7 linked regions of the Callithrix jacchus genome follow. The protein of the gene in region 1 interacts with the protein of each later gene in a pairwise test. Links are inferred from orthologs where the notes say so. Each region holds a gene or a part of one and is shown in the gene's direction. Other genes may lie near its edges.

The links.
Region 2: the proteins of FSD2 (region 1) and SH2D4A interact in binary tests that used the Homo sapiens proteins (3 or more experiments, as listed by UniProt). The two-hybrid records come from large-scale screens. The link is inferred for Callithrix jacchus from reciprocal best matches to the Homo sapiens genes FSD2 and SH2D4A.
Region 3: the proteins of FSD2 (region 1) and LENG1 interact in binary tests that used the Homo sapiens proteins (3 or more experiments, as listed by UniProt). The two-hybrid records come from large-scale screens. The link is inferred for Callithrix jacchus from reciprocal best matches to the Homo sapiens genes FSD2 and LENG1.
Region 4: the proteins of FSD2 (region 1) and FMR1 interact in binary tests that used the Homo sapiens proteins (3 or more experiments, as listed by UniProt). The link is inferred for Callithrix jacchus from reciprocal best matches to the Homo sapiens genes FSD2 and FMR1.
Region 5: the proteins of FSD2 (region 1) and CORO1A interact in binary tests that used the Homo sapiens proteins (3 or more experiments, as listed by UniProt). The two-hybrid records come from large-scale screens. The link is inferred for Callithrix jacchus from reciprocal best matches to the Homo sapiens genes FSD2 and CORO1A.
Region 6: the proteins of FSD2 (region 1) and SPATC1L interact in binary tests that used the Homo sapiens proteins (3 or more experiments, as listed by UniProt). The two-hybrid records come from large-scale screens. The link is inferred for Callithrix jacchus from reciprocal best matches to the Homo sapiens genes FSD2 and SPATC1L.
Region 7: the proteins of FSD2 (region 1) and TLE5 interact in binary tests that used the Homo sapiens proteins (3 or more experiments, as listed by UniProt). The two-hybrid records come from large-scale screens. The link is inferred for Callithrix jacchus from reciprocal best matches to the Homo sapiens genes FSD2 and TLE5.

Annotation. Positions count from the first base shown.
Region 1 is NC_133507.1:24,078,575-24,082,626, reverse strand, and holds the start of FSD2 (fibronectin type III and SPRY domain-containing protein 2), read left to right. Parts: upstream 1-1,489; 5' UTR 1,490-1,731; intron 1,732-4,052. Other genes in the region: WHAMM (WASP homolog-associated protein with actin, membranes and microtubules), read right to left, coding at 878-1,489.
Region 2 is NC_133514.1:22,193,811-22,198,126, reverse strand, and holds the start of SH2D4A (SH2 domain-containing protein 4A), read left to right. Parts: upstream 1-1,475; 5' UTR 1,476-1,618; intron 1,619-1,777; exon of another isoform or gene 1,778-1,871; intron 1,872-4,316. UniProt on the Homo sapiens protein: Inhibits estrogen-induced cell proliferation by competing with PLCG for binding to ESR1, blocking the effect of estrogen on PLCG and repressing estrogen-induced proliferation. May play a role in T-cell development and function.
Region 3 is NC_133523.1:47,340,354-47,344,755, reverse strand, and holds the start of LENG1 (leukocyte receptor cluster member 1), read left to right. Parts: upstream 1-1,485; 5' UTR 1,486-1,508; coding exon 1,509-1,640; intron 1,641-2,687; coding exon 2,688-2,867; intron 2,868-3,778; coding exon 3,779-4,041; intron 4,042-4,402. Other genes in the region: voltage-gated chloride channel TMC4, read left to right, coding at 27-157, 254-409, 666-744, 839-907.
Region 4 is NC_133524.1:144,510,925-144,514,637, forward strand, and holds part of FMR1 (fragile X messenger ribonucleoprotein 1), read left to right. Parts: intron 1-652; coding exon 653-739; intron 740-3,172; coding exon 3,173-3,368; intron 3,369-3,713.
Region 5 is NC_133513.1:29,353,547-29,357,771, reverse strand, and holds the start of CORO1A (coronin-1A), read left to right. Parts: upstream 1-1,401; 5' UTR 1,402-1,518; exon of another isoform or gene 1,519-2,212; intron 2,213-2,646; exon of another isoform or gene 2,647-3,023; 5' UTR 3,024-3,024; coding exon 3,025-3,222; exon of another isoform or gene 3,223-4,225. UniProt on the Homo sapiens protein: May be a crucial component of the cytoskeleton of highly motile cells, functioning both in the invagination of large pieces of plasma membrane, as well as in forming protrusions of the plasma membrane involved in cell locomotion.
Region 6 is NC_133522.1:51,762,486-51,766,198, reverse strand, and holds part of SPATC1L (speriolin-like protein), read left to right. Parts: intron 1-2,740; coding exon 2,741-3,091; intron 3,092-3,713.
Region 7 is NC_133523.1:2,836,548-2,840,894, reverse strand, and holds the start of TLE5 (TLE family member 5), read left to right. Parts: upstream 1-1,611; coding exon 1,612-1,638; exon of another isoform or gene 1,639-1,639; intron 1,640-2,480; coding exon 2,481-2,578; intron 2,579-4,347. Other genes in the region: uncharacterized protein LOC128930549, read right to left, coding at 798-1,613. UniProt on the Homo sapiens protein: Transcriptional corepressor. Acts as a dominant repressor towards other family members. Inhibits NF-kappa-B-regulated gene expression. May be required for the initiation and maintenance of the differentiated state.

The DNA of each region.
Region 1 (4,052 bases):
AAATGACCCCACCAACGATCTCCTTTTATAAAACCATTTTAATTTAGAAAGCTTATTCTATATTTAGCAGGATATAATTAAGATTTTGAAATGTAGCTGAACTCTTCTCTTCACCTCCCCTTCCTTAATGAACAAAAAAAAATCATTCAGGTTAATAACAGCAGTAAGCCAAGATTGTCCCACTGCACACCAGCCTGGCTCTCCTTAGTAAACTGTGGGCGTGGATTTAGAAGGCATATTTTCTCCTAAACCCTTCTATGAACTTGTACTTCCCCCTCCCCTTAGGTTCGCTAGGTGTACCACTCAATAACTCCTTCTCAAACTACCTCGTTCAAGCAGCACTCCTGCAGTTATTCCAAACTGATGACTAAAGTTCACTTTCACTTTCCCTCAGCCAAGTCTTTATCACTTAAACAAAACAAAACACCTTATCTCTTAACAGCCATTTCTTCCGTTAAACCATTTTATCCCGTTTGTGACATTCCCTCATATACAGACTTGGAACGCTTACATTTAGTCCGTGTTATTCTTTCCTACGTGGATGGGTTGTTTACAGTTTTGCTTGCAATATTTCTGGCATTTCCCGTTACAACACCCTGTTCTGCCAGCATCTCCAGGACAAAGGTTGGGAGCCTAGCCCAGCTCCGAGCTGCAAGTACACTAGGCTCTAACTTTGTCCGTCCTCTCTGCAGGCCCTCCCGGAGCTCCCGCCCGTTTCGCACAGCGGTCCCGCGAAGGTGAGAGCACCGCGGAGCCCGCGGCCTTCTCCACCCTCCGGCTCCTCCTCGTCAGCTGGCAGCCCGGGCTCTGGGCGCCCGGGGAGCTTCCCACAAGGTCCCAAGCCTAGGCAGCGCAGACTGGGCCCGACCTCACTTACCTGGCGCAGCCGCGCGTCCGCTTCGGTCCACCGCGCGCGCAGGGCCCGTTCCCGGAACTCGCGCAGGCTCTCGCAGTCTGCCGCGCCGCCCTCAGCCGGGAAGAGCGCGTCGCGCACGGTGGCGCCACCGCAGCCGTCTGCCGCCTCGCCCAGGTAGCGCTCCAGCCGTCCACACAACTCCCGCAGCGCCGCCTCTCCGGGCCCCGCGCGCGCCGGCCACAGCAGCGCCCACAACCCAAGACCCAGGCCCCAGGCCCCGCCGCCGCCACCTACGTCCAGCTCCGGTGGCAGCCGCGGGAAGCAGCGCTCTAGAGGCGGCCATAGCGCCGCCAGTTGCCGGTGCGCGCCGCGGAACCCCGCGGCCGAAAGTAGGCCGGCCCAGCTTGGGGGGGACATGGCGGCCTCGGGCTCGGGCTCGGGCTCGGGCTCGGGCTGGGCCCCCTCGCGTCGCCACCGCCGCTGCGCGGTGCGGTCGTGACAAGTCACAGCGAACTTGCCCTCCGCGCCGTTCCAGGCCACCAGGAAGCGCAACCGGTGCCGCTCGGGCTCGGCGAAGAGGCCCTCTCGGACCGGCACCCAGCCCTCCAGGCTGTCAGGCTGCTCGTCCTCCATGACAGTCGGCGGCAGCGGCTCTAGGGCTCAGCGGGCGCGGGACTGTCCTCCTCGCACCCCCTGTCACGAGACAGTCCGAGCTGAGGCATTTTTCGCTGGAATCGAAACCGCGTCAGTGTCCCGGCAGCGACCCGGTCCTCGGCACTTCTGATTGGCTGGCAGCCGGAGGCGGGGCTTAAGTGAGGCGTCCGTCGGGAATGGTTAGGTGATAGAAGGGAGGGTCAGCTACAACCAATGAAAAGGTGAGGTGGTCTCCCTCGGACGTCAATCATTTCGCAACCTGGTCGGGAGTCTGGGAAATACAACGCTTGCCTCACCTTTTCCACCCAATACATGCGGACTTTGGAAAAATATCTTTAAATGGGCGAGTTATTATCTTAGCCTCCCACACTAACCTATGAACTTCTACGAATAGGGACCAAGCCGATTTCCTCTTCTGTCATCAGGGCCCTATTGAGTACATGGTTCCCGCCCTCAAGACTGTCACAAATGTGCTGGGAAGATGAAATAAACTTGATAGTCATTTATTGAGGGCTTCTAAGTGCCAAGTACTGGACAGAAGCCACAAATTTACTTTTATTGAGTGTCGGCTGTGTGCCAGTATTGAGACGATGGAGTAAGAGGGAGAATTCAGGGCACCACAGCTTCCAGCCAGGGTGTTTAAATACAATCTTCATTCCAACTCTTCACTTTATACCAAGTACCAGCTCGGCCATAGAGACCCCCATCCAGGCGGCGCTGAAGGAACTGAGAGGCAGACACCCAGATAGAACAGCAAAGTGGGCTTATGGGGGTGAGAGGCGGGGAGGGCAGTGGCCAATAGGCTTCTGAACTGAGAGCCTCAGGGGCCGGACAGCATTCCGGACTGAAGGCCCCAAGTAGACTCTGACCCATGCATTTATTCTCCCTGAACAGGTGATCACTATTAACAAACAGGTGTTATGTGTTTTCTCATAACACAAAACACGCCAAGTAGACATCTGGTGCCCGCTTACAACTGATCACAACCTAAAAAGTATTCTCCGTGAGGGAGCCACGGGGGCAGGTTCTTAAAGAACTGTAACCGGTTTGTGATATTTATACATTGTCCTGCCACTTTGGAATGCCCCAAGTAGTTTTCTACTTGGCGGGGGGGGGGGGGGGGGTGGGGCTGTGTGCTGGTTTTCCTTGCCATCGTTCTTCCTAGCAAACGATATATTCTGTCATACACTCGGCATTCATCAATATTCATAAACTTAACATTTCTCAACATCAATATTCATAAACTTAACATTTCTCAACAACTTTAGAGTTAAGGAAACAGAGGCCCAGACTAACTTAAGATACACCAAAACTCAGGCTCAACATGACTACCTGGCTACTGAAGGCCTGTTTAAGGAGATATCAGGAAATCCAGTTTCCATGTCAGGGTGGAGTTGGATCTGTTCATACAATAAGGACCAAGACCGCCCTCGTCTCTGCCTGGGAAATGTACAGTGTCAACTGAGAATTATATTTTGTGCTTTCTGTTATCCCCAAGGGCAAACAACAAGCAGGAGAATCTCTGGAGCCTAGGAGGCGGAGTCTGCAGTGAGCCGAGATTGTGCCACTGCACTGCAGCCTGGGCAGCAGAGTAAGACTCTGTTTCAAACAAACAAACAAAAAGTCTGTTTTAAATATCTTTCTTGTATACTCCTCACATTGTATCATTTTACTATCTCTTTTATACTTTGTAACCACTTCTACTAGTTTTCTAATCTATTTGTTTTTTCAAGAGGAAACTAATCTTTCTAATTATGAAAGTGTAGTGAGTGGCCCGGTGCAGTGGCTCACACCTGTAATCCCAGCACTGTTGGAAGCTGAGGTGGGAAGATCACTTGAGGTCAGGAGTTCGAGACCAGCCTGGCCAATATGCCCAAACTCTGTCTCTACTAAAAACACACGCACACACACACACACACAAATTATCCAGGCATGCTGCATGCCCTATACTTCCAACTACTAAGGAGGATGAGGCACAAGAATTGCTTGAACCCAGGAGGCATAGGTTACAGTGACCGAGATTGTGCCACAGCACTCCAGCCTGAGTGAAACAGTGAGACTCAGTCTCAAAAAAAGAAAAAAGTCTCCTCTGTATATATATTAATATATGTCTTAGCCCATTCAGGCTGCTAGGACGGAATACCATAGACTGGGTGGCTTATGAACAACAGACATTTATTTCTGATAGTTCTGGAGGCTGGAAAATCCAAGATTAAAGCACCAGCAGATTCGGTGTCTGGAAAGGAAGGGCCTGTTTCTTGGTTCACAGATACTTGTATTTTTTTTTTTTTTTTTTTTTTTTTTTTTTTTTTTGAGTTGGAGTTTCATTCTTGTTGCCCAGGCTGGAGTACAATGGCGCAATCTCAGCTCAACTCCGCCTCCCAGAAGCAATTCTCCTGCCTCAGCCTTCCAAGTAGCTGGATTACAGGCGTGCACCACCATGCCCAACTAATTTTGCATTTTTAGTAAAGATTGGGTTTCTCCATGTTGTTCAGGCTGTTCTCGAACTCCTGACCTCAGGTGATCCACTCACCTTGGCCTC
Region 2 (4,316 bases), on another chromosome or scaffold:
TAGCTTGATGGGCAGAGCCCCTAGCCTCGGGTGAGAGGGTGGGAACCATAACATGGTATGAACTGATCCGAGTGAATGTGTTTGAACACTCACCACATGCCAAGAGCTGTTCTCATCTCTTTGCATGCAGTATCTCATTTAACCCTCTTAACAATGTAAGGAGGCAGGCACTCTTTATCCAGAGGAGGAAACTGAGGTACAGAGATTAATAGCACAGTGCCAGAGCTATTATAAGAAAGGACTGGTCAGGAGTTGAAGAGAGACTGGATGTGAGGAAGGTAACTGACCGTCACAGTGTCCTGTGGGATTTTTACTAAATGATAAACCACCCTGTATAGTTCTTCAACTGATCCAGCCATGCAGGGGTAGGATTCATTTGGATCTGGCCATAGCAGCTTTCCAGGGGCCAATCCCACTTCAGCCTAAAGCACCCCATAGGTTATCATTTAATCCGCAGCGGGACTAAGCCTTAGACCAGAAATTCCTCCCTAATGGGCTCCCTGGAATGGTTCCCACATAGCTGGGGGTCCTTTACTGACAATGCTGCCTGCCCTGATGCTTGATGTAACTCAGCCATATCTTCTGCAGTTGGGAGAGATGGGGAATGACATTTTGTGTTTGAACCCAGCAGGTCAGGCTCCTGAAGAGGTCAGGTAGGCTGTAGAGAGGACAACTGGTGATTACTGTTTATTACATGACACTAAGTCCCCAACACACGAAATCTGGGGTTCCCCAAAACAGACGGTGTTCTTCCACATGCTCCTCAAGGATGGAAAATGCCCTCCAGTGGAAATGCCTTTCCACTCTGCTTCTGCTGGATTTTCCTCCAAGATTTCCTCTAACTGTGGACTGCCAGCTCCTCCCTGATGTCTTCAGGCACCACCCAACCTCTGTTCTTGCTGCAATCCACAAGGCTCCTATCAACATCTTGACTTTCCCTCCAGTTTTCTTCCATTTTCTCCCCCTATGTTGACTGCGGTCTCCTTTCCCGCCTTTCTCCTTCATCTTGCCCTACAAAGCCGCACCTGAACCACAAGTGCCAGAGAGTTTGATCATTTACCTAATGTCAACAAAAGAAAAAAAAAGTAAGCTCTAGAGCCGGCTTGGCCTGAAGCACTCAAGCACAGTTAACAAGTGGGGCCAGGGCACCCTCCTACCCTCCACCTCGCAAGGAACTCAGAACTCTGAAACGGGGAAAGGGCCAGGCCTGCTGATTTAATCTATGTCCCGCAGTCTCCAAGAGGTCACAGACTGCAGATCCCAGTCTCCTGAAGTAAGAGAGGAGAGGACTACCGCAGTTGGAGGACAGCGCGAGGGCCAAGCGGCCCAAGATGCGCAGGCCACGCAGCCTCACGGACAAGTGGCCCTGGAGAGCCTCCAGGCACCCGGGTGGGGCCGCGATCGCGCTCTCAGTCACCCTAGCCTGTGGGCGCGGCAGGGCGGCGCGGGCGGGCCGGCTGCCGGAGCTGTTTGGCGTCTTGGCCTGAGTGTTTGCCCAGCCCGCCTGCGTCGCTCGGGGCGGCTCGGCCTTTCCCTCCCTCCCTTTGCCGACGGCTTCTGGCAATCAAGTGGATGTGGCGGGCGATCGGGCCACCTAGCCCAGGCGCGCCCAGCACTGGTAGGTGCTGGGGGTGGTGAGAGGCTTTGGGGAGAGAGTGCATGGGGTGGGAGTTGGGGGAAGGGAATTTCCTCCGGGCTTGCAGGGGTACCTGGGAGGTGCACGGCCCAGAGCGGGCGGGCGGAAGACTCACCCCGCCTCCACCCCTCCACGGCGCGCGGGGCGGGCTCAGGTGCGGGGCTGGGCGCCTAGCGCGGCCGCGGAGTGTCCGGTGTCCGGTGTCCGGTGTCTGGAGTCTGGAGCCGCTGGCTGGGTGAGTGGCGGTCCCCGGGGCCCGGGGACTTGCAGGGGATAGCGGGGTGAGTTCCGAGGGGGAGGGTCTAGCCCGGGCTCAGGAGACTTTTGGGGAAGTTCTGGGATCTGGCGAGGACTCGCGGCTCGTGCTTCCACCCGCGTGGAGTGCAGGCCGGGAGACGATCCGGGCTGGCCTGGAGTTTCTAGACTCCTAGCAGGAGCACAGCCCCGTCCTTCGCCCGGAGATCTTCCAAGAGGGAAGTCCTGGGAAGCGGTGGCAGCCGGCTCAGCACCCCTGCAGCGCGTTCCCTGCGTGCCGGCACCCAGGGGCGCCCCCACGTGGGGTCGGGGCGCGCGCGGAGGCACGTGCAGCGCAGCCTCCCTGGGCCTCAGACCTAGACATGGTGCCCAGTGGGCTCAACCAAGGGCGCCCCTGCCCACTGCTGGACTCGGGGGTCACGCGGGCCCCGGGAGGAGCCACAGTTTGTAGATTTTCTGAGTTGTCTCTCGCTTCCCTGGACGCTTAGAGAAGCAGCAAGCATGGAACCTCCCCTTTTCAGACAGGTGCTCCTCATTGCTGAAAGAGGCTTTTGTTTGATTGCTGTTTTAATAGAAACAACGACTTGGGTACCATTATTGTTAAATAGTGAATAAATAAGTGTAAAGTATACAGGGGCATAGATTTGGCATGAGTGGAATTTTCTAGGTATACTAAATCTGTGTGTACAGTAAACTCAAATTTCTGAAGAATAGTATATACTTGCAAAACTTGCCAAATTTCTGTCATCTCTAGTAATTTGTTTCATGGTCCAAAAACAGCCCTTGTGCTGGTAGATGCATAAGATAAAGTTTGAATAAGAAAGTAAAGTTGGACCACAGAGCTGGCTGTTTTAAAGGAATTAGAATTCAGACTGTGTTGTTAATGTATAGTTACACTGTCGGTACTACAATACTTTGTTATTTTTTATTTTATTAGGTCGGTGCAAAAGTGCGTTTTTTCATTATTGTTTTGTTTTTGTTTGTTCGTTTTTGAGACGGAGACTTGCGCTTTTTAGCTCAGTCTGGAATGCAATGGTGTGATCTTGACTCACTGCAGCCTCCGCGTCCCAGGTCCAGGTTCAAGCAATTCTCCTGCCTCAGCCTCCCAAGTAGCTGGGATTACAGGCACGTGCCACCATGCCTGGCTAATTTTTGTATTTTTAGTAGAGATGGGGCCAGCTGGTCTTGAATTCCAGACTTTGTGATCCGCCTGCCTCAGTCTCCCAAAGTGTTGGGATTACAGGCGTGAGCCACTGTGCCCGGCTGTAAATTGCAGTTTTTATGGCCAAGAAAAACAGTAACTTTTTTTTTTGCCATAAAAACTGCAATATTTTTGCACAGACCTAATATTTTTGAGACAGGGTCTCGTTCTGTCACCCAGGCTGCAGTGCAGTGTATGATCTCAGCTCACTGCAGCCTCAAACTCTGCAGCTCAAGCAATCCTCCCACTTCTGTCTCCCAAGTAGCTGGGACTATAGGTGCAGGCCACCACACCTGGCTAATTTTTATATTTTGTGTAGAGACAGGGTTTTGCCATGTTACCCAAGCTGGTCTCAAACTCCTGAGCTCAAGCAATCCACCCACCTCCACCTCCCGAAGTGTTGGGATTACAGGTGGAGCCACTGTGCCCGGCTTACTCTTTTTATGATTTAGGCTGTATCTTAGGCCTTTTAAAATTTTTATTTGTTTAGGCATCAGAGTTATCCAAAAGACAGTTGTATTAACACTGTGAAGGTGTGAGAATCAGGCCAAATCTATGGTAGCGTGGAAAACAGCTGATTCTCTCACCCTTTAGCAATTGGTGTTCAGAATAAATAGCAGGTGTGGGCTTGTTGCTTATCTTTCTCTTAAGAATGGTTTTGTGTTAGCTAGCTTTTCCTTTATTGGATCTTGAAAAACTGGAGGTTTGCTGCACTTGATATTTTATGGGAAAGTCCTTTGAATTTGAATCAGTATCAGCAATGATTATTTGTCCTTGTCAGAGAGTGAAAGTGGGAAAACCCGGTTAGTTAATTTCCTCATTTCTATTTCTTCTACCCTGGCTCTACCAGGCTCTTTCACTTCACAGTAGATTATGTCACATAAACCACATATTATGAGGAGTCACAGACTGAACTGGCCCTCATTTCACAGATGAGGAAACTGAGTCCCAAGAAGGTGAGGTGGCAGCCTAGAGTCACACTGCTCATTAGAGGCAGAGCTGGGAATTGAGGCTGAATTCCCTCTGGGTGTCTTGGATGCACTGTGCTGAGCTTGAGTTGGGGTCTGAGAAAGGCTTGGGGTGGGGGTTAGGGGATGGGAATTTAGGGGTGAGAGGGAGAGGTAATTTACACCAGCACCATTCAGCAGCTGCAGAATAACCACATCGTCAACAGCCTGACCACAGATAGTTGTCGGCTAGATCCCCCAAGTATTCTTGGAGGCA
Region 3 (4,402 bases), on another chromosome or scaffold:
CCTTCCTCTGTGCCTTCCCCTGCCAGCTCACCCTCTTCTTCACCTGCTCTCCGGCTGCCCGCACGTTCCGGGCCTCCACAGCGAATTTCTTTTTCCCCCTGGTCCTTCTCCTGGGTCTGGCCATCTCCAGCGTTCCTCTGCTTTACAGCATCTTCCTGTAAGTGCGAGAGGCTCCTGCCTCTTTCCCTCCCTCTCCCTGCGTTCAGCGTTCAGACTCCTGGCTCTACGTGAGCCCAGCCTATCTTGACTTCAGGATCCCACCTTCTAAGCTATGTGGTCCATTCCGGGGGCAGTCGTCCATCTGGGCCCAGATCCCTGAGTCTATTTCCAGCCTCCCTGAGACCGCCCAGAACTTCCTCTTCTTCCTGGGGACTCAGGCTTTTGCTGTACCCCTTCTGCTGATTTCCAGGTGAGTTTGCCCAGACTTCTGGGTCTGGGTTTGAATGCACGTGATCTGGGGGCCACCACCTGCGTCGGAGAGAGGAGAGGCTCGGGGTGGGAGGAGGCCTAGGGTCCAAAGGAGGAGGAGGAGGAGGGTGGGACTTAGGACTCCTGGGCTGGGAGACTGAAGTCCTTGTAGATGACATCCTGGCTTTGAAGGAGCCAGGGGTTTGTATAGAATGGAGGAGCGTGTCAGGAGTGGCTTCTGTTCGTGTCTCCTCCAGCATCCTGATGGCGTACACTGTGGCTCTGGCTAACTCCTACGGTCGTCTCATCTCTCAGCTCAAACGTCAGAGAGAGACGGTGAGCCAGGCGGGTCCCTGAGAGGGACCCCGTGGGGGACATTGAAAGGCATTGGGGGAGAGGGCTGTCTGACCTCCACCTCTCTTTGCCTCAGGAGGCGCAGAACAAAGTCTTCCTCGCACGGCGCGCTGTGGCGCTGAGCTCCACCCACCCGGCTTTTTGACCCCTGCAGCCCATGTCCCACCTTCAGACTCCAGGCCAATTGTAAGCCTAGGTCACATCTGTAAAACTAGGAGAACTAGAGAAGACCCCACGCTCTTCCAGCTCTAGGATCTGGAGGTTTCCAGAGACCCTCGCCGCCACGTCCCAGACTCTCGGGTGATCTTTCTTCTATGAATAAACACAGCCGAGGTGACTGAGCGCGCTTTGAAATCTGCGTCCTGAAGGTGGGGGCAGGGCTACATCAGGGCGGGAGCCAATCAAATGCATGGGAATGTGTGGCCGTTCGAAGTGCTCTTCCGCAAGGAGACTTGATGGTTGTGTTGGCCAATCGGCGGCCGAATCTGGCATTAGGGGAGGGCCAACTTGCGATTGGCTCGGATATGTGAAAAGCGGTTGCTAGGGGATACCACGCGCCAAAAGCCTGGCATTCGCTGAGATAAAGGGCGTCTTAGCCAATCACCTGTCGTTACAGGCCAGGGGGCCGTACCAATGAGTTAAGAACCAATCTGTGGTCGAAGTAGGGACAAGAGGGAAGGGGCATTCTCTCGCCAATCGGAAGTGCAGAGAGGCGGGCGTGCCAGTCCGTGGACTGCTACGACGCCATGAATATCTTGCCCAAGAAGAGCTGGCACGTCCGGAACAAGGACAATGTTGCCCGCGTGCGGCGTGACGAGGCCCAGGCCCGGGAGGAAGAGAAGGAGCGTGAGCGGAGGGTGCTGCTGGCTCAGCAGGAGGTAAGCCTGGGAACCGGCCGGGCGGAACTCCGGGGCCCAGCGCGCAGGCGCCATGGTAGGGGGCCGGAAGTGGACGCGTTGCGCAGGCGCCGTGTGCCCCGTATGTAATTCGTGACCCGGCGCGGACCTCTTTTCCGAAACGTTGCTCGGCAAACGTTGTGCCCACTTGCATGAAATCTCCCTTGATCGCCCCCTCGTCTTGTTTCCCCCCACTGATGTATTTCACATGGCTAGAGCAGTGTCTAGCACAAAAGAGAAGCATAAATGTTTACCGAATTCAGGATTCCTTGGACAGTTTGAGGAAATTCGGATCACTTTCTAGTTGGCTTGCACAGTCTATTTATTGAGCAGTTACTGTATGCTAACTGCATGCAGAACGCCTGACTTCCAGAATCCCCCTTAAGCACCGTTCTTTCTTAAAGAGGCATTGTCATCTCCGTGGCACGAAGTGAGATGGCGTCAAGGGAGGGGAAGTCTCCACCCCCTTGGGCGAGCCCTTTCCCTGCACCACCCCCAGACACACACACAAACATGGGCTTTATGTATAGCTCCTTAAATCTGTTTGGTGTACACCTAACTTTCAGTTCCTTAGCCAGTCTGATCCTCCACACTGGGAGGGAGGTAGTCTGGGTTTTTAGAATCTCAGTAGGCTGCTGAGAGCTTTGTCCTGAAGGTGGGAGACCGGGCTTCATCAATGGACTTGGGGTAATGACTTGGAGCCATGCCTGGAATCCAGATCATCTGACCTAATGCAGTTTGTTCTACCTTTATAGCTGTTTTAATTGTCTCACTTGAGGTTAGGAACCCCTTTGGTTTAGGCCAGGGACCTCCTCCCAGCCATCCTTGATGTGTGGTTTACTATTTGAAAGGCAGTTTACAAAACCCAGGTGTTGCCTTATCTGCCTACCCTCACCCCTGCTAGGACAGGTGCCCCCTTTCTTACAAACCCAGCACCCTGGACTGCTGTTTCCTGTGGTGCGCACCAGACTTAAAAGTTCTTGAATTACCTTTAGGTTTTTAATGTCTTGCCTGTAACTTTCTCCCCAGGCCCGTACAGAATTCCTACGGAAGAAAGCCAGACATCAGAACTCACTGCCTGAGCTTGAGGCAGCAGAGGTGGGAGCCCCAAGTTCTGGCCCTGTGGACCTGTTTCGAGAGCTGCTGGAGGAGGGGAAAGGCCTGATCAGAGGCAATAAAGAGCACGAGGAAGAAAAGCGACAGGAGAAAGTAAGCTGGCCTTATCTACTTCATCAGAGACATGAATGGAGCTGGGGGGAGGGACACTTTAGCCATTGGTTGTGACTAAGGCTAAACAAGAGTGAACACTCAGAATTTAGAACCATACCAAAGCACACTCAGAAGTGGTGGCTGTTGCCATTTGGGTGCCCTCAGGGCTTGGAGGTAGATGCTCGAGATCCCCAGCTGCTAGGTGAACTGCTCAGGTCTCCAAACTGGAGGGGTCTCAAACCTGATGAGCTTTTAAAAATCTAAATCAGCTTGGTGGTGGCTCATGCCTGTAATCCCAGCATTTTGGGAAACTGAGGTGGGCAGATCACCCGCGGTCAGGAGTTCAAGACCAGCCTGGTCAACATGGTATCTCTACTAAAAATACAAAAAAAGTTAGCTGAGCATGGTGGCATGCACCTTTAGTCCCAGAGGCTGAGGCAGGAGAATCGCTTGAACCCAGGAGGTGGAAGCTGCAGTGAGCTGAGATCGTGCCACAGCACTCTAGCCTGGGTGGCAAGAGTGAGACTCAATCTCAGGAAAAAAAAAAAAAAAAAAGTGAATCAATCACTTCTTGCCTTTTGGCTAAGATCGAGTGTAAAAGCTCCTGTTCCTCACCTGCTGTCTCTGGACTTGCTGACCCCACCCACGGGTCCTCTTGCTTTGCTTGCTCCCTGCAAAGATGCCTGCCTCTGAACATTCAGGCAGCTCCACCCCATCCCCTCCTTCCTCTGCTTTCTGTGACTGTCCCTGCTATCGTCACCCCAGGGCAGGAGCTTGGCCTCTGCTGGTCTCTTCCCTCCCCAGCACCTGGCACAGCTGCTTCACCATAGGCCTTAGATACCTGTGTCAGGGAGATAAACCTGACACCCTGAAAGATTATATCCCATCTCTTTTATTTCCTGACCCCTCAGGAGAGACAAGAGAAAGCTCTGGGCATCCTGACATACCTGGGCCAGAGTGCAGCCGAGGCCCAGACTCAACCCCCTTGGTACCAGCTCCCACCAGAGCGAGGGGGTCCCCCGCCTGGCCCAGCCCCAGATGAGAAAATAAAGAGCCGCCTGGACCCTCTGCGGGAGATGCAGAAGCATCTGGGGAAGAAGAGACGGCACAGCAGTGATGAAGGCAATCACAGCAGAAAGGAAAAGGATGGCTCTGAGACACAGCGACCCAAGGGGTGAGGAGGAGGACCCTGCCCTGGCAGAGCAGGACCCAGATCTTCAGGGCTTGGCAGCAGCCTGGCACAGGCACAGCAGGAGCTCTGGGTGGAACAGCCAGGGACCCCGTGAAGGGATGGCTGGGTGGAAAAGTGGTTCTCACCATGTGGTCCAGGGAGCCCTAGGGGTCCTGACTCCCTTTCCGGGGGGTGCCGTGGTGTCAAGCCTATTTTCCTAACACTGTTTGCCTTTCACACTCATTCTCAGGCAGGTAGTGCAGCTTTCCAGAGGCTACATGATGAGAAGACACCCTCACTGTGATGACTAATGGCAGATACTTATGTCCAAGTTTTCTTAGTTTTCACTTCTGATTTGCATGAT
Region 4 (3,713 bases), on another chromosome or scaffold:
CGCCTGTAATCCCAGCACTTTGGGAGACCAAGGCAGGCAGATCACCTGAGCCCAGGAGTTCTAGACCAGCCTGGGCAATATGGTAAAACCCCGTCTCTACAAAAAGTACAAAAATTAGCAGGGTATGGTGGCATTCATCTGTAGTCCCAGCTATTCAGGAGGCTGAGGTGGGAGGAACACCTAGGGCCTGGGGAGGTCAAGGCTGCAGGGAGCTGTTATTGTGCCACTGCACTCCAGCCTGGATGACACAGTAAGACCCTATCTCAAAAAAAAAAAAAAAGACTTTGATCATGATAAAGCATTTAGTAAATGAATTAGAGCGTCTTACACTGTTCATTTTGTCTATATATCTCATGTTAAGCTTCTATAGTTTTGAATTATACATTTTTAAATTTTGCTGTTACTGAATACTAATCTTCAAAATGTAATCTGATACTTTTAAGAGGTTGCTATTAATCTTTTCTTATTCACAGTAGATGTATAAAGTAGTATATCAACTACTTTTGTTTTCATATATTGATTTATATTTTCAGCAAACATTTGTATACCTACTGTTCACCAGATCCTGTGCTAGGGAATTAGTCATTATTTACATTTTTCAGATTTAATCTATCATTAATTTTTAGGATCATCATTGCAATTTCTTTTTCAGGGTATGGTACCATTTGTTTTTGTGGGAACAAAGGACAGCATCGCTAATGCCACTGTTCTTTTGGATTATCACCTGAACTATTTAAAGGTGAGAACAGAAAGAACAACTTCTAATCCTTTTGTACTAAAATATACAAACTTTATAGTAGATCTTTTAGCAGTTAGGATTCATTCTCGCCTGTGCAAAACACTGACTTGTCAAAGATAATAGAGAAAATATGTTGTTTAGTTTATAATTTTTCTAAAAATGGAAGTCACTACAAATTTAAGGACCTATATAGCAGTTCTCAGTAAAATTTTATACTTACCCTTATTCTTCTCTTAAACCCATTTACGCAGTCCTGTACATAATCTTTTAATCAGTTTGATCCTTTCTAGCATTTTGGTTTTTCCAGGCCAAAATTTGTGTCTGTAACTCTTGCCTTTATTATTCCTTTTGTGTCATTTATCAAGGAAAGCTAAGCGTTTCATGAAGTCCTTTGTTTAAATGTTTACCCTCTCTATTTTTCTCTTTGCTATTCTTCAAAATACAAACTGTTTGTGCTTCTCATAAATGGTCATTTTAGAGTTAGGCAGTTATGCCTCCTTTAAATTTCAAACTGGAAGATAGGATCCAGGAAGCTACAGGGTGTAGTGGAGAAAGCACTGGATTGGCAATCCAGCAATTTGCTTATAAGTCTTCAGCCAATGAACTAGCTGTGTGACTTTAGGCAAGTCACCTCCCTACACTAGATGCTTCTTGAAATTCCTTTTGGCCAAAATGTTCTATAATTTAATGAAATGGAAACTGATCTACTTCGTTTTTATAGTGTTTTATTTGTATCCATACATATCAAAATGATAATGTAGCTGGTATTAAATGTCTTTAAAAGCAATCAACTCTTATTTATGGCGTTAGGAATTTTTTTGCTGATTTCTTGAAAGAAAGAAAAACTGATTTCTGCTTGTGTATAAATAAGCATGAAAGGAAGAAAAACTGTGATATTGGGCATGTCATTCATTCTTATGGTGGCCAGTTAATTAAAAGTGGGAAGGTTTCATCCAGCAAGGTTTACATTGGTAGGAATACCTCTTTGATTTTTTTTTTTTACAGTATGCTTATGTGTAATCTTTAGTGTTTCTTCACATTCTTAGCTTAAATCATTTTGAAGACCTGGAGAGTTAGGATTGCACTGTATCAAATCCCTTATTATTTTGACTAATGTTCTTTCTTAGATCCTTTGATTTATTCTCAAGAATATCTTCTTTGGTTATCAGCAGCTGCCCTGTTGCCATTCTTTACATCACCATAACTTCCCTTGATTGGGCCTGGCATCTCTCACCAAAAGGTGACTGCTTTGCCCCAGTGGGATAACCTGGACTACTTGTTCTCTTTTGCAAGATATCCCCATTCCATGAGCTATTACTATACCTTTGGAGGAAGTCACTCAGCTGCAGTCTCTCCTTTGCTCAAATTCTGTGTAAAACAGATTTTGGTGTAACTGTGTAAGTTGCTAATGATGGCAGAGCGCAGGTGAAACTCACCAAATACTTACCTGACCTTTCTTTTCCAGAAGCTGCCACAATCAAGATTTTAGAAACTTAGTTTTACAGGGACTTCTCCATTGACTGTTCATATAGACAGTCTCTGTAATAACCTCTGCTTCACTGAGACACCTACTGCTACAATAGTTATGTATCTGATTCCCTGTAGCCAGTAAATGAGATGTTTCTGAGTGGATTCGAAGGACAGTGGTTAGAAGTGAGGTTTCACCTGGGTTTAACAGAACCCAACATACAGGAAGCACTGTGTGTAAGGGTCTGTCAGTGGACCCTAGGTGTATATTTCTATCAACTGAATGTATACTGTGGCTTGTACTTGTTGTAGCAGAATTGTAGTCTTTAAGTTTTCAAGGCATGATGTGAGACCTAGCTGTCTGGTCAGCTATTAAATAGTTTTGTTTTCCCTTCATAAGGAACAGTCAACATTTTCAGTTTGTGAAAATAATTGTTCCTTAACCATAGTATATGTTCTTTTAAAACAAAAGATGGCCCAGACTCAATGCTTTGTAAATTTAGATATTAACTGACAAATCTACTTTAATTAAGATTATTTACAACGTGTGATTTTTAAGGTTAGCTGGTTGAACCTTAAATGTCATTTATCTGTATTCATACATTTTAGCATTGTTTAATATCCTATCATGAAGAAGTCCCCAAAAGAGCATATCTGTGCCTTAGCAGTAGAATAATTGGATAATATTGCTAAATTAGACAGCTTTAAATTTTATTCAGTATAATTTTAATGCTGAGTGTTTTTGTTATATCTTTAATTCTGGACATCAATAATCTGTTATCTCTAGTAATTTTCTTTTTAAGGAGATCATTCAGTTTCCTGATAATTCTATGTAACAGTATTTACTGTAAATTTAGAGCTGAAATTGAAATATTTCCAGTATATTTTTATCTGATGAAAAGGAGAAAGGTTTTATTAAGTAAAATGTCAAATTATTTTTACTGTTATCTTGTATATTTTAAATAGGAAGTAGACCAGTTGCGTTTGGAGAGATTACAAATTGATGAGCAGTTGCGACAGATTGGAGCTAGTTCTAGACCACCACCAAATCGTACAGATAAGGAAAAAGGCTATGTGACTGATGATGGTCAAGGAATGGGTCGAGGTAGTAGACCTTACAGAAATAGGGGGCACGGCAGACGCGGTCCTGGATATACTTCAGGTACAAACTAAGCATTTTACTCAGTAACTTTATCTGTTGCTAGACTTATAGCTGCTAATCTCTAATATTCATTAGAACCCCATTATAACAATTTGTCACTACATGGTTTCCAATTCACAGTGGGTTAAATTGTGTTACAAGAGACATAGAGTAAAATCTGGATAATAAACACTTAGAGTTCACAGGGTAGGTGCAAGTTCTGTTCATGTTCTGATTGGGGGTAATCTGCAAAGCCCTTGTGTGTTGATGACTTTCTTAAGGCCTCTCCTCATTTTATAACTGTATACCCAAAACTTTTTCATTTGTGTACTGTGGCTCATTTTTTTGTCAGGTATGTGCTGGTCA
Region 5 (4,225 bases), on another chromosome or scaffold:
CTTGAACCTTTCCACATGACTGGGCTGTTCCTCAGCCTACAGGACACCCCTCTAGCCTTACCTGTTGGCTCTTCCTCATCCTTTCAGGCCCAGCCCAGATACTTTAAACAAGAATGATGAGAGTTAACCTTTTCTTTTCTATTTTAATGAGACAGAGTCTTGCTCTTTCTCAAGTCTGGAGTGTAGTGGTGCGATCTTGGCTCACTGCAGCCTCTGCCTCCTGTGTTCAAGCTATTCTCATGCCTCAGCCTCCTGAGTAGCTAGGATTACAGGCATGTGCCACCACAACAGGCTAATATTTGTATTTTTAGTAGAGATGCAATTTCACCGTGTTGGCCAGGCCAGTCTCAAACTCCTGACCTCAGGGGATCGGCCAGCCTTGGCTTCCAAAGTGCTGGGATTACAGGCATGAGCCACAGTGACTGCCCCAGAACTAACATTTATTAAGCACCTGCCATTTTCTAGATGAGGTGCTTACTACCTTCCTTGAGTTATTTTAGGTAATCATCCCCATACCTCTTATGTGGCAGGTATGAGTGTTACAGAGGGAGAAACTAAGGCTGAGAAAAGCTAAGTAGCAGCCCCACGTCAGTCAACAGGTGACAGATTGCGGTCACACTCACGACAGAGTCTGACTCTAGAGCGGACCTTTTCTGCCCTCTGTTGCTGCCTCCAGGAGCCCCTCTGATTCCAAGGGTGGGAACTACCCCTCCTTGCCCTCGAGCCCGATGGAAGTCTGGGCTAGGAGCGGCTGTGGGCTCTTCCTCCTTCTCCCAGGCTGGCTCTTCAGGGGCGGAAGCCTGCCTGGCTTGCTCGCCTCTATAGTCCCTGGCACAAAGTAGGTGCCCGTGATGCCCAATTATTTCAGCAGGAGGGCAGGGGTGCCCCCAATGAAGACAGGAGAGCCAGGGAGGCGAAGCGACTCCCGGGGCCACCTATGCGTAGATTTTAGAGCCAGGCAAGAGCCAGGTCCCCTAGGTCCAGGGGCGCGCCCGGGGCTCCTTCTCGCCCGCCCTCCCTGCGCCCCCAGAGCTCGCGTCTGCAGGGCTGGGAGGCGGCGGCGGCGCAGCCGGGCCGGGCCGGACACCTAGGCCTGGAGGGCTGGCCTGGGGCGCTTTCGTGCCTGCCAGGGAAAGGCTGGAGAGGAGGCTGGGGGCGGACGCAGGAAGGAAAGAAGCAACGGGGTATTTTTGCGTTTTGACATGTTAAAAAGAAGTGCAGATTCACTTCCCGGCGGCGGACCGGTAGCCTATGCTTCTGTTGGGGACCCGCGTAGGGCGCGGGCTGGGGGCCGGGGAGGGAGGTGGCCGCCGCGGGGACCGGGGGAACGCAGGGCGGGCCTGAAAGAGCTCCGCCCCAAGGGGCGCGGCCACCCCGGAGGCGGGCGCACGGCTGCTTCTCATTCATTGTCTTGACAAGAGCATCCTCAGCGGGCGAGTCCCCGGCTCCTCCAGCTCCTTCCTCCTTCTCCTCCTCCACCTCCGGCTTCTGGGGGTCACTGTCCTCTCTTGGCAGCAGGTGAGGCTGGGCCTGGGAGGCGCGGGTGGGCCGCGGCGAGGGCCACCTGTGGGGCGGCGCGCGCGTGGGAGCCGCGGGCTGCGGGGGCGCGCGGCTGTCACAGCAACCCGGCCGGCGCCGGGGCCAGGGAGCGGGCGCAGCAGCACGCGGGGGGACGCTGCCTGGAGTGGGGGCTGCCGGGGCTCCAGATCGCTCTGTGGAGGCGAGGGCGAGGGACCACCGTGGCCAAGATGGAGGTGGGTGGCCGGGGGTCAGCACAGTGGCGAGGCCCCGACTCCCCCCGCAATTGAGTCTCGAGGAGGGTGGGGATGGGGGCAGGGTAGGGTGAGTGGGGCAGCTGCCCTAGCCTTGGAGACAGGAAGAGGTTGAGAGCAAAACAAGAAAAGCCCAAGTTCCCCTTTCCGTGGTTTCCGGGCCTGGTACCTGTGGCGGGGGAGGAGGCAGGGTGGGGCGATGGCTTCCTGCCCCCCACCTCTGGTCCGGGGCTCCCCTCTCTCTAGACCCAGGCTGCTCCTCAAGACTAGGGCTCTTCACTTATGCTCCTCACCGCTCTCTCAGCAGGCCGACCTAGCAGCCTCCTCGGGAATCCTGGGGTGGCTGGGGGTGCTAGAGCCCCCAGTGAGCAGGCGAAACTGAGGCTAGGGGCAGAAGCTCTGGGCATGGCATCCTCTGAGCGGCAGCAAAGATCCCTTCCCTGAGCAAGAAGGTGATGCGGTTGGCACAGGGTCGCCCCTGGAGTTCCTGGCTCCCCACCCAGACACGGGGGAAATCATCCTAGCTGGACATCAGAGAAGTCGGGGTGGCCTCTCCCTTCCTGTGTGTAGTTCACAAGGGGGTGGAGATGGCTCTTAAGGGCACCTGCTTTTCTGAGCGGAGGCGAGAGGCAGAGGTATGGGGAGGAGGAGATACTGGGACCTGAGCCACTGATGGCTTCTGGTGCCCAGAGACCTGCTGGGGAAGCCATCCTGCCGCCTCACTTTGCTCCAGCAGCCCCCACGCCACTTCCTCCTGTATCCAGCCCTGTGCCAGCAGGCAAGGGAAGCCAGCCCCTGCCCCTGCCTTTAGGAGGCACTCTGTGTGGGTGTGAGGGAGGTGGGCTCTGGACACGGTAACTAAGAGAGAACCCACCCTCAGAGCCATCTGGGCTGATGACGCCTGAGTCTGAACCATTAGGAAGGATGGGCTCTGCATCCGTCAGCCAGTCAGTCAGTCAGTCAGCAAACATGCAGTGGGGGCAACACCACGCCGGGCTCTGCTGCAGAGGCTAAGGGTACAGAGTGAGAAGGTGGCTCAGAGTGGCCGGGGGCCAAGGAGAAAGGAGCTTGCAGGTTAGACAGGAGGAGAGGCTGGCAAAGGGGAGCAGGCATCAGCCACAGTAGGGAGCCTCTGGAGATGATGCTGGGACCTCAAAAGCCAGACTGAGGGGTGTCCTAGGGGAGGTGGAGGCCATTGGAAGATCAGAGTTGACCTGAAGGGAGAAACGCTCTTAATCTGTGTGCCCCCAGAATGAGCCGGCAGGTAGTCCGTTCCAGCAAGTTCCGCCACGTGTTTGGACAGCCAGCCAAGGCCGACCAGTGCTATGAGGATGTTCGCGTCTCACAGACCACCTGGGACAGTGGTTTCTGTGCCGTCAACCCTAAGTTCGTGGCCCTGATCTGTGAGGCCAGTGGGGGAGGGGCCTTCCTGGTGCTGCCCCTGGCCAAGGTGAGCCCCTGGGGCCCTGTGGGGAGCAGCTTCTCCACCTGACCATGGCTCTGTGGAGGTCCTGATTAGGTGACTGTCACCAAGTCTTCTGGGGCCTGTGTTGCCATCTGGAAAACTGAGCTGGGCCCCAGGAGCCTCATGCTTCCTCCAGCACCTCTGTGCAGTGGCTGTGTGGAAACTGACGCTCAGAAGGAGCCAACACAAGATGGGTCACACCACTGCCCAGGACTGCAGACAGTCCTGCACACCCACAACCCACCCTCCCGAGCCTCAGCCTGGGGCTTTCTCCCCATGGAAACACCGAGAAGGCTGGGATGGGGTCTGGGGGCCCGGCAGCATTTTCAGGGTTGGGAGGGACTCTGGCTCTGGGCCTGCCTGAGGACCTCGAAACTCTGGCCCCCAGCTCACAGGCAGAGAGGATGCAAGAGGCGCTCTCCCCTCCCCCAGCCCTGCCCTCCCCTGAAGCCTGCTGTCCCTTCCACCGGCTGCCTGCTGCCCTGCACCCCCAGCACACTCCTGTGCTCTTTGGGGGGTGAGACAGGAAGGGGAGATGGGCCCCAAGTTGTTACCTTAAAAGGGCCGATAGAAGCAAAGAGAAGAGGAAGTGGTTGTCGGGGTGAGAGCTGGGCCTGAGCCCCGCACTGCCGTCACACAGGAAGCCCTGCTGGAGCAGCTGTCCCCGGAAGAAGCCATTTCCAAACCTCTGCCCTCGCCTGGGGCTGGTTATGACAGGCTCCCTGGCCCCTCTCCTTTGGGGAGGACCCACCCCTGCAGCCCCACCACTCACACTCGCTCTCTGGGGAGCCAACCGTGCCCCCCTACTCCCCATACACCTGTCCTGGCTCTAGGGCCAGTTGGGCCCATGGAAGGCTCACTCAGGGAAGCTGGGGTGGGGTGCAAACCCTAAGGGCAGAGAGAGACTGAGACAGAGACCAGCGGGAACTCTGCCAGGGTCTCGCATGGCCCACATCCTCTGCCATGCGTGGCCAGCCCTCCTGGGGTT
Region 6 (3,713 bases), on another chromosome or scaffold:
TCTCCTCACACCCCTGCCTCATGAGTCTGTTCCCTGACCTATGCTTGGATGATACTTGATGCAGCTATTTCTGGCCCATCTATGGTATTTTTCCTAGGGGTTATCTTTGTAGGAATTTGACGTTAGAATTGTGACAAATTTTGAAACCTAATTGAGCATGCTTTAAGCGTTCTGTGGTTCCAGCTTCATTTGTATGATGTTGGGATTATGACTTGTTGGGAACTTGGCACACTCACGAACAGAACACCCAGGCCTGCAGCCCTTTTTGGGGAATAATAATTTCCTGACTTTGAGACTTTCCTTCTTTGTGTGTTGGTTCATTTAGGTTTTCTATCTATTATTGAGTTACTTAAAAGTAACTTTCCAGGTTCATCCATGTCCCTACAAAGGACACGAACTCATCATTTTTGATTGCTGCGTAATATTCCATAGTGTATATGTGCCACATGTGTGTACCTATGCAACTATCTTGCATGTTCTTCACATGTACCCCAAAACCTAAGATGCAATTTAAAAAAAGAAAAAAAAAGTAACTTTCCAGAAGATACGTCCTTTTACTGCAATTTTAATTAATACAGAATTGTACATGATGCTCTTTTATAATTTGAAAATACCTGGGGTGGGAGCTGGTGCAGCCCCGAGGACTGACCAGGCCTCCCCCGTGGCAGGAGGCAGGGCACACACTGATGACTTTGCTTCTTTTGAACACTTTTTTTCCTTGGAAAACATTTCTGAGGGAAGATTGGTTGGTTCCTTTGTAGGCACATGACGTTTTGATATAGCTCTTCACAGCGTTTCTCAAATATGTATTTGCTTTGTTGCTAGGAGAATACTCACGACATGGAGGTAGAATAGAATTTCATAAGCCACAAAGGCATTGATAAATTTGACCAGGGATTAGGGAAATGCCACATGACCTCATCAGCCTGGTTAGGGAATACCGAGTCTTCATGAGGCTGTGGGGCCGGGAGCAGTTGGTGGGCATGGAACCTCCCCCTCATCGTGGAAAGCAAAGAAAGTTAAACATTAGCCCAGCGCAGGACCACAGGGGACGCTCACGGAGGGAGGAGGCTGAGCCCAGCGCTGGATCACAGGGGAGGCTCACGGAGGGAGGAGGCTGAGCCCAGCGCTGGACCACAGGGGAGGCTCATGGAGCGAGGAGGCTGAGCCCAGCGCTGGATCACAGGGGAGGCTCACGGAGGGAGGAGGCTGAGCCCAGCACTGGACCACAGGGGAGGCTCACGGAGGGAGGAGGCTGAGCCCAGCGCTGGACCACAGGGGACGCTCACGGAGGGAGGAGGCTGAGCCCAGCGCAGGACCACAGGGGACGCTCACGGAGGGAGGAGGCTGAGCCCAGCGCAGGACCACAGGGGACGCTCACGGAGGGAGGAGGCTGAGCCCAGCGCTGGACCACAGAGGATGCTCACGGAGGGAGAAGGCTCATCCTGGGAGCTGTGCGTTTGCAAGGAAATGTGGGAACAGCCTGTGCCCATCGACAGGGCAAGGGTAAAAAGCCACTGTGTGTGTGTCCATGTGTACAGAGGTGCCAGGAAACAGTTAAATGAACTGGGAGCTACCAGATGGCTCAACGTGGATAAATCTTAGAGACAGAATGCAGCAGCAAAAAGTTCTGTTGCAGAATAAAATGTGTAGGGTGTCACCATTTATGTAAAATTTAAAATGCATATAAAAGTCATTCTCCAGTGTGTGTGGGTGCACAGGGCGGGAGGAAGCACGCGGAGGCCTGCCCGCTTGCTGTGTCCATAAACAGACGCAGCACTCCCGTGGGCATGGCGGGCACCATAAACAGATGCAGCACTCCCATGGGCATGGCGGGCACCATAAACAGATGCAGCACTCCCATGGGCAAGGCAGGCACCATAAACAGACGCAGCACTCCCGTGGGCATGGCGGGCACCATAAACAGATGCAGCACTCCCATGGGCATGGCGGGCACCATAAACAGATGCAGCACTCCCATGGGCATGGCGGGCACCATAAACAGATGCAGCGTTCCCACGGGCATGGTGGGCACCATAAACAGATGCAGCACTCCCATGGGCATGGCGGGCACCATAAACAGATGCAGCACTCCCGTGGGCATGGCGGGCACCATAAACAGATGCAGCGTTCCCACGGGCATGGTGGGCACCATAAACAGCCCTTCCATGGGCATGGCAGGCACCATAAACAGACAAAGCGCTCCCGTGGGCATGGCGGGCACCATAAACATGCAGCGCTCCCATGGGCATGGTGGGCACCATAAACAGTACTCCCATGGGCATGGTGGGCACCATAAACAGCGCTCCCATGGGCATGGTGGGCACCACAAACAGACAGCACTCCCGTGGGCATGGCGGGCACCATAAACAGACAGCACTCCCGTGGGTATGGTGGGCACCATAAACAGACAGCACTCCCATGGGCATGGTGGGCACCATAAACCGCTCCCGTGGGCATGGTGGGCACCATAAACAGACAGCACTCCCGTGGGTATGGTGGGCACCATAAACAGCGCTCCCGTGGGCATGGCAGGCTCCCACGGCCACTTCACTACATCTAGCATCTCCTTTTTCACTCGAGGTCCAGAGGGGCAGGAGGATGCTCTGAAGCCAGGGACACCCCAGCAGGTGCTGAAGCTTGGGGTTGGGCACACAGGGTTTGTTAACATGTTCTTTGCACTCTGGAGGATGTTTTAGGCACTTGACCTGACGCCTCACCCCTTTCCTCCCTGCTCCAGTTCCAGATTTTGGAAGGTTCACCAGTGTCGCTGACACACCCTCCCAGTTGCAGATGCCCTGCCTGGAGGACCTGCTGTGCTCACATGCCCCCCTGCCCAGTGAAGACGACGCCTCCCCAGGCTGTGCAGCCCCTTCCCAGGCATACTTCAAGGCCTTCTTCAGTCCCTCGGAGCTGCACAGCCACCGAGGCACTGACAGGAAGTTGTCCCCACTCCTGAGCCCCTTGCAAGACTCACTGGTGGACAAGAGCTTGCTGGAGCCCAGGGAGGTGGTCCGGACTAAGAAGGTGTGCTTCTCGGAGAGCAGCCTGCCCACCGCGGACAGGACCAGGAGGGGCTACTACCTCAATGGTATGGCCGGTGGGGGGGCAGCGGGTGAGCCCCGGGGGAAGGCTGGCAGCCGTGGGGAGGGCACGTCTGGGTGGTCACGGAGTGGAGGGAGGATGGCCAGGCTGGGAGGCTGGGGCCCAGGACAGTGGCTGTCCCAACCTTTTGCCCATCTTTAAAGAAAAAACGGGTTGCTTATCTTCTCCTTGGGAAGTTGCGAGAGTTCTTTACCCAGGTGTGAGTCCTTTTGGGCACAGGTGTTGCAGATATGGTCCCCCCTTCATGGCTTCCACTTTCATAGTAACGTCTTTTATGAGCAAAACTGTTTAATTTAATGAAGTCCAGTTTATTGATTTTTCTTTCGTATTTTATGCTTTTTATGTTCGGTTTAAGAAATCTTTGCCAAGCCCAAGGTCACATAGATTCTCTCCTACGTGTTGTTCTAGAAGTTTTATAGTTTAGGTTTTCCAGGCAGGTCTCTGATCAATTCCAAGTTACTTTTCATATATGGTGTGAGGTTTGCATGTCGATATCCACCTGAGGCTCAGGCCAGCCTCCCGCCTCAGCCTCCCAGGTAGCTGGGACTGCAGGTGTGTGCCTGGCTAGAATAAAATGGCTTATTTTTGTTTTTTGTGTTTTTGTTGTT
Region 7 (4,347 bases), on another chromosome or scaffold:
GGAGTTCGAGACCACCGTGGCCAACATGTGAAACCCCATCTCTACTAAAAATATAAAAATTAGGTGGGCGTGGTGGTGGGTGCCTGTAGTCCCAGCTACCCAGGAGGCTGAGGCAGGAGAATCGCTTGAACCCAGGAGGCAGAGGCTGCAGTGAGCCAAGATCGTGCCACTGCACTCCAGCCTGAGTGACAGAGCAAGACTCCATCTCAAAAAAAAAAAAAAAAAAAAAAAAAAAAAAACCACCAGGTCCTGTCCCTCTTCCTTCCACAGCCCTCCAGGGCTCCCACCTCACTCAGAGCAAGAGCCCTGTACTCCCCGAGGCCCACAAGCCCTTTTGGAACTGGCCTGTGTCACCAGCTACAGAGTTGCAGGGCACAGTACAAAAGAAAACTGAAAGGCCCCTTGTTCGAAAATGATTCGGAATTTCAAAACGCAGCAGTAAAGATTCACCCAGGCAGAAGCCCTGCTGGGGGCAGGGGGCCTGGGCAACAGCATGAAGCCCCAGGCCCAGGCCCTGCCTCCATCCCGGGCATCCTGGTGCCAGGCACAGTCCTGCCCCAGGGCCTTTGCACCTGCTCGTCCTGCCTCTGACTGGCACTGCCCCCATCCCCTGTTCTCGCTCCTTGGGGTCCGTTTGTGGAGGAGGAAGCCCTCTCTGACCCTCCCTGCCCTCTGTTCAACCTTGCACCTTCCTACCCCGCCATTGTCCCAGCCGATTTTCCCCGCAGAGGCGTCCCCACCATCTGACCTGCTGGGAATTCAGCTCCTGAATTTATCTCTGTCTGTCTCCAGGCACCTCACCAGGGCAGGGGCCTTGTACCCCCCCCACCCACCCCAGGGCCCTGGAGCAGCCGGGCCTGGCACACAGGCCCTCCATAAAGGTGTCCAAAGAATGGCTTCCCTGAGGAAGGCGGCATGACCGCTGCCTTTCTGCAGAAGAGGAAACTGAGGCCCGGCGAGAACCACCGCCCAGCCAGAGCCAAGGTCACAGAATACGTCCCTGGCACGCGTCCAGGTCGTGCCACCGCAGGGCCGGCGGCTTCGACCTGGGCAGCCGGGTCCCTTTCTCTGACAGATGGGGAAACCGAGGCCAGGCCGGCCGCCAGGCTGGGGCGGGTGGCGGGGGCCGCGGCCCGGGGCGGGGGCGCGCCGGGCCCAAGGTCACCGCGGCGGGCGGGCCCCGGGGAGGCGGGCCGGGGTGGGGATCCGCAGGCCTCCCCGGGCGCGCGCGTCCCCCCCCTCGGCGGCGCGCACGGGGCACGGGCGGCGGCGGCAGGTGGAGCCGGAGCCTCCGCAGCAGCCGAGCCGCGGCCACCGCCGGCGTCGCCGCCATTAGACAATAGCGGTGGGGCCGGGGAGCGGGGAGGCGGGCGGCGGGGAGGGGCGGGGAGGGGCGCCGGGCGCGCAGGAAGCGGGGCCCGGGGCGCGCCGGGGCCGGGCGCGCGGGGAGGGGGCGCAGGAAGCGGGCGAGGCCGGGCGCGGGAGGCGGCGGCGGCGGCCCCGGGAGCTGCCGATCCGCGCCGGGACAAAGGCGCGGCCGCCCGGCGCCCCGAGCAGCCCGAGCCGGGGCGCACAGCCGGGGCGCAGCCCGCGCCCCCCGCCGCGACTGACATGATGTTTCCACAAAGCAGGCATTCGGTAAGCGGGGCCCGCCCGCCCGGCGCCCCCTCCCCGCGCCCCCGCCCCGCGCCCCCCCAGCTCCCGGGCCCTGGCTTCCCTCTCGGGCTCCGAGCCCCGCGCGACCCCCGTCCTGCCGCCGACCCCCGGACACCCCCTCAGTTCCCGATTCTCCCCCAGCTTCCGGGCCCCGAACCCCCCCCCAGCTCCCGGCTTGGCGCCCCCCCCCCCGCCCGCCGGGACAGGCAGGGCCTCGGACGGCCTTGGCCTCGGGCCTGGGGATCTCCGGGAGCCCCGCCAGGCACCTCCAGCGCGGGGCTCCTTTGGGGGCCTGTGGTGGGGGGGACAATCCGAGGCGTCCCCCCTCCCGGAAGAGAGCGCGTCCCCGAGGAAGGGCGCTGGGATTCTGGGGTGGGCTCCCCCCCGGAAGATTTAGGGCGCCGAGAGAGACCCCCTTCCCCAAGGGGACTTTGCAGGGGGGACTCGCTGCCCCTCAACTTGGGGAGGGGGCTCCCTAGGGCGCGTTTCCACCCCCCTCGGAGGCACCCACTCCCGGCGCTTTGGAGGGGCGGTAGAGGGCGTACCCTGCCCCCCACCTAGGGCGGGCCTTAAAACGCACCCCCCACTGCCTGGGGGTGGCGGGGGACGGGGCGGCTCCGGGCGCACCCACCCCCTCAGCTTCCCCCGGGGAGAGGCGGGGGCAGGAAGCGCGGGTGGGGGCCTTGCCAGGGGCGGTAAACACGGGCCCAGGAAGTGGGGCAGGAGGGGGGGCGCCGCAGCTGCGCGGCCGCTCCCTCCTGGCCCGCCCTTGAGGGGGGCCTGGCCCACGCCTGGGCCTGACCGGGGCGCCCCCCTCCCCACAGGGCTCCTCGCACCTACCCCAGCAACTCAAATTCACCACCTCGGACTCCTGCGACCGCATCAAAGACGAGTTTCAGCTCCTGCAAGCTCAGTACCACAGGTGAGGGGCGGGTCGGGGTCCCTGCGCCCGAGAGGGTGAGCCCCCTTGTTCTGCACGGACGGCAGATTGGGAAAATAACGTGTGCTAGGCTCCGACCGAATCGCTTGACAAATACTGAATTCCTTTCTTTAAACAGCCCCAGTTTGTAGAGGAGGAAACCGAGGCACAAAAAAGTTAAATAATTTGCCCAAAGACCCACCTGTGTGACTTCAGAGTCCCTCCCTCCTCCCCAGTCTCCCCCAAGCCCCCCCCCACCCCCCGCTGGATAAAAGACCTTGCGCCAACCAGCTTAGAGCCTGGACTCACCATCCCCCCAACCCCAAAACACATTTTGTAACCTGGTTATGTCTGTCTTTGGCCAGTTTTGGAGAAAGGGTTCCCAGCGCCCATCACGTTCTCCAAGGTGCTTCTCCTTTCAGAAATCTGACCTTTCTGAAGAGTTTGCCATGTAGCTGGTCTAAGGCGAGGGAACTATTGAGTCCTCTTAAAGAAATGTAAGCCCAGGCCGGGCGGTGGCTCACCCTTATAATCCCAGCACTTTGGGAGGCCGAGGCGGGTGGATCACGAGGTCAAGAGATCGAGCCCATCCTGGTCAACAAGGTGAAACCCCGTCTCTACTAAAAATACAAAATTAGCTGGGCACAGTGGTGCGTGCCTGTAATCCCAGCTACTCGGGAGGCTGAGGCAGGAGAATTGATTGAACCCAGGAGGCGGAGGTTGCGGTGAGCCGAGATCGCGCCATTGCACTCCAGCCTGGGTAACAAGAGTGAGAATCCGTCTCAGAAAAAAAAAAAAAGAAAACAAAAGAAAGAAGCTTAAGCCCAGAGAGGTCAGGGATTTCCTCAGGGTTAGTATCCACAGCACTGAGGAAGGGGCAAGGCTGAGGTGGGCACCAGGTCTCTCTCCTGGTGTAAGGATGCAGATTCCCACGTGCCCTGCTCTGGAGGGGCGCAGCAGACCTGGGAGTCTGGAGGAAGTCAGGCCACGCTGAGGCCCACGTTTCAGCCTGGGGGCCCTCTCCTGACTGCAGTTTGCCCATCCTGGAGGGACCCTGGACTTCCTCCAAGTAGAAAGGGGAATCTCGATTTTGAAACTATCCAAACTTTCGGGGTACTCCCTGTGTGCTAAAGACCATATGTGCTTCCTCGTGAGGTCCGGCTGTCGTGCCCATTCTCAAGATGGGCACACTGAGACCCCGACAGTCAAAAGCACTGGAACCAGCTTTCCAGGAAGGCCCCAGAAACTTCTATTTGGGTCCCTGGAAGCATAGGGTTTGAGACTGCCTGGTGGGCCCTGGGGCTGACCTGATTCCACAGGGAAGAGATCAGATGGCCTTCGCAGTGCTGTGTGACCTCCAGTAAGCCAGACGCCCTCTCTGAGCTTTGGAGTCTCCATCTGCTGGGCCTGGGCTTTCTGCTATCCAGAAAGCCCTGCCATATCAGGCACACACTGGATGTTCAAGGCATAACAGCCCCTGGGTGGCCGGATCAAGTCTCACGCTGTCGCCCAGGCGGGAGTGCAGAGGGGCAATCTCGGCTCACTCCAACCTCCGCCTCCTGGGTCAAGTGATCTCCTGTCTCGGCCTCCCAAGTAGCTGGGATTACAGGCACGCGCCACCACTCTCCTAATTTTTGTATTTTTAGTAGAGACAGGCTTTCGCCATGTTGGCCAGGCTGGTCTTGAACTCCCGATCTCAGGTGATCCACCCGCTCGGCCTCCCAAAGTGCTGGGATTACAGGCGTGAGCCACTTTGCCCAGCCCTGATTTTT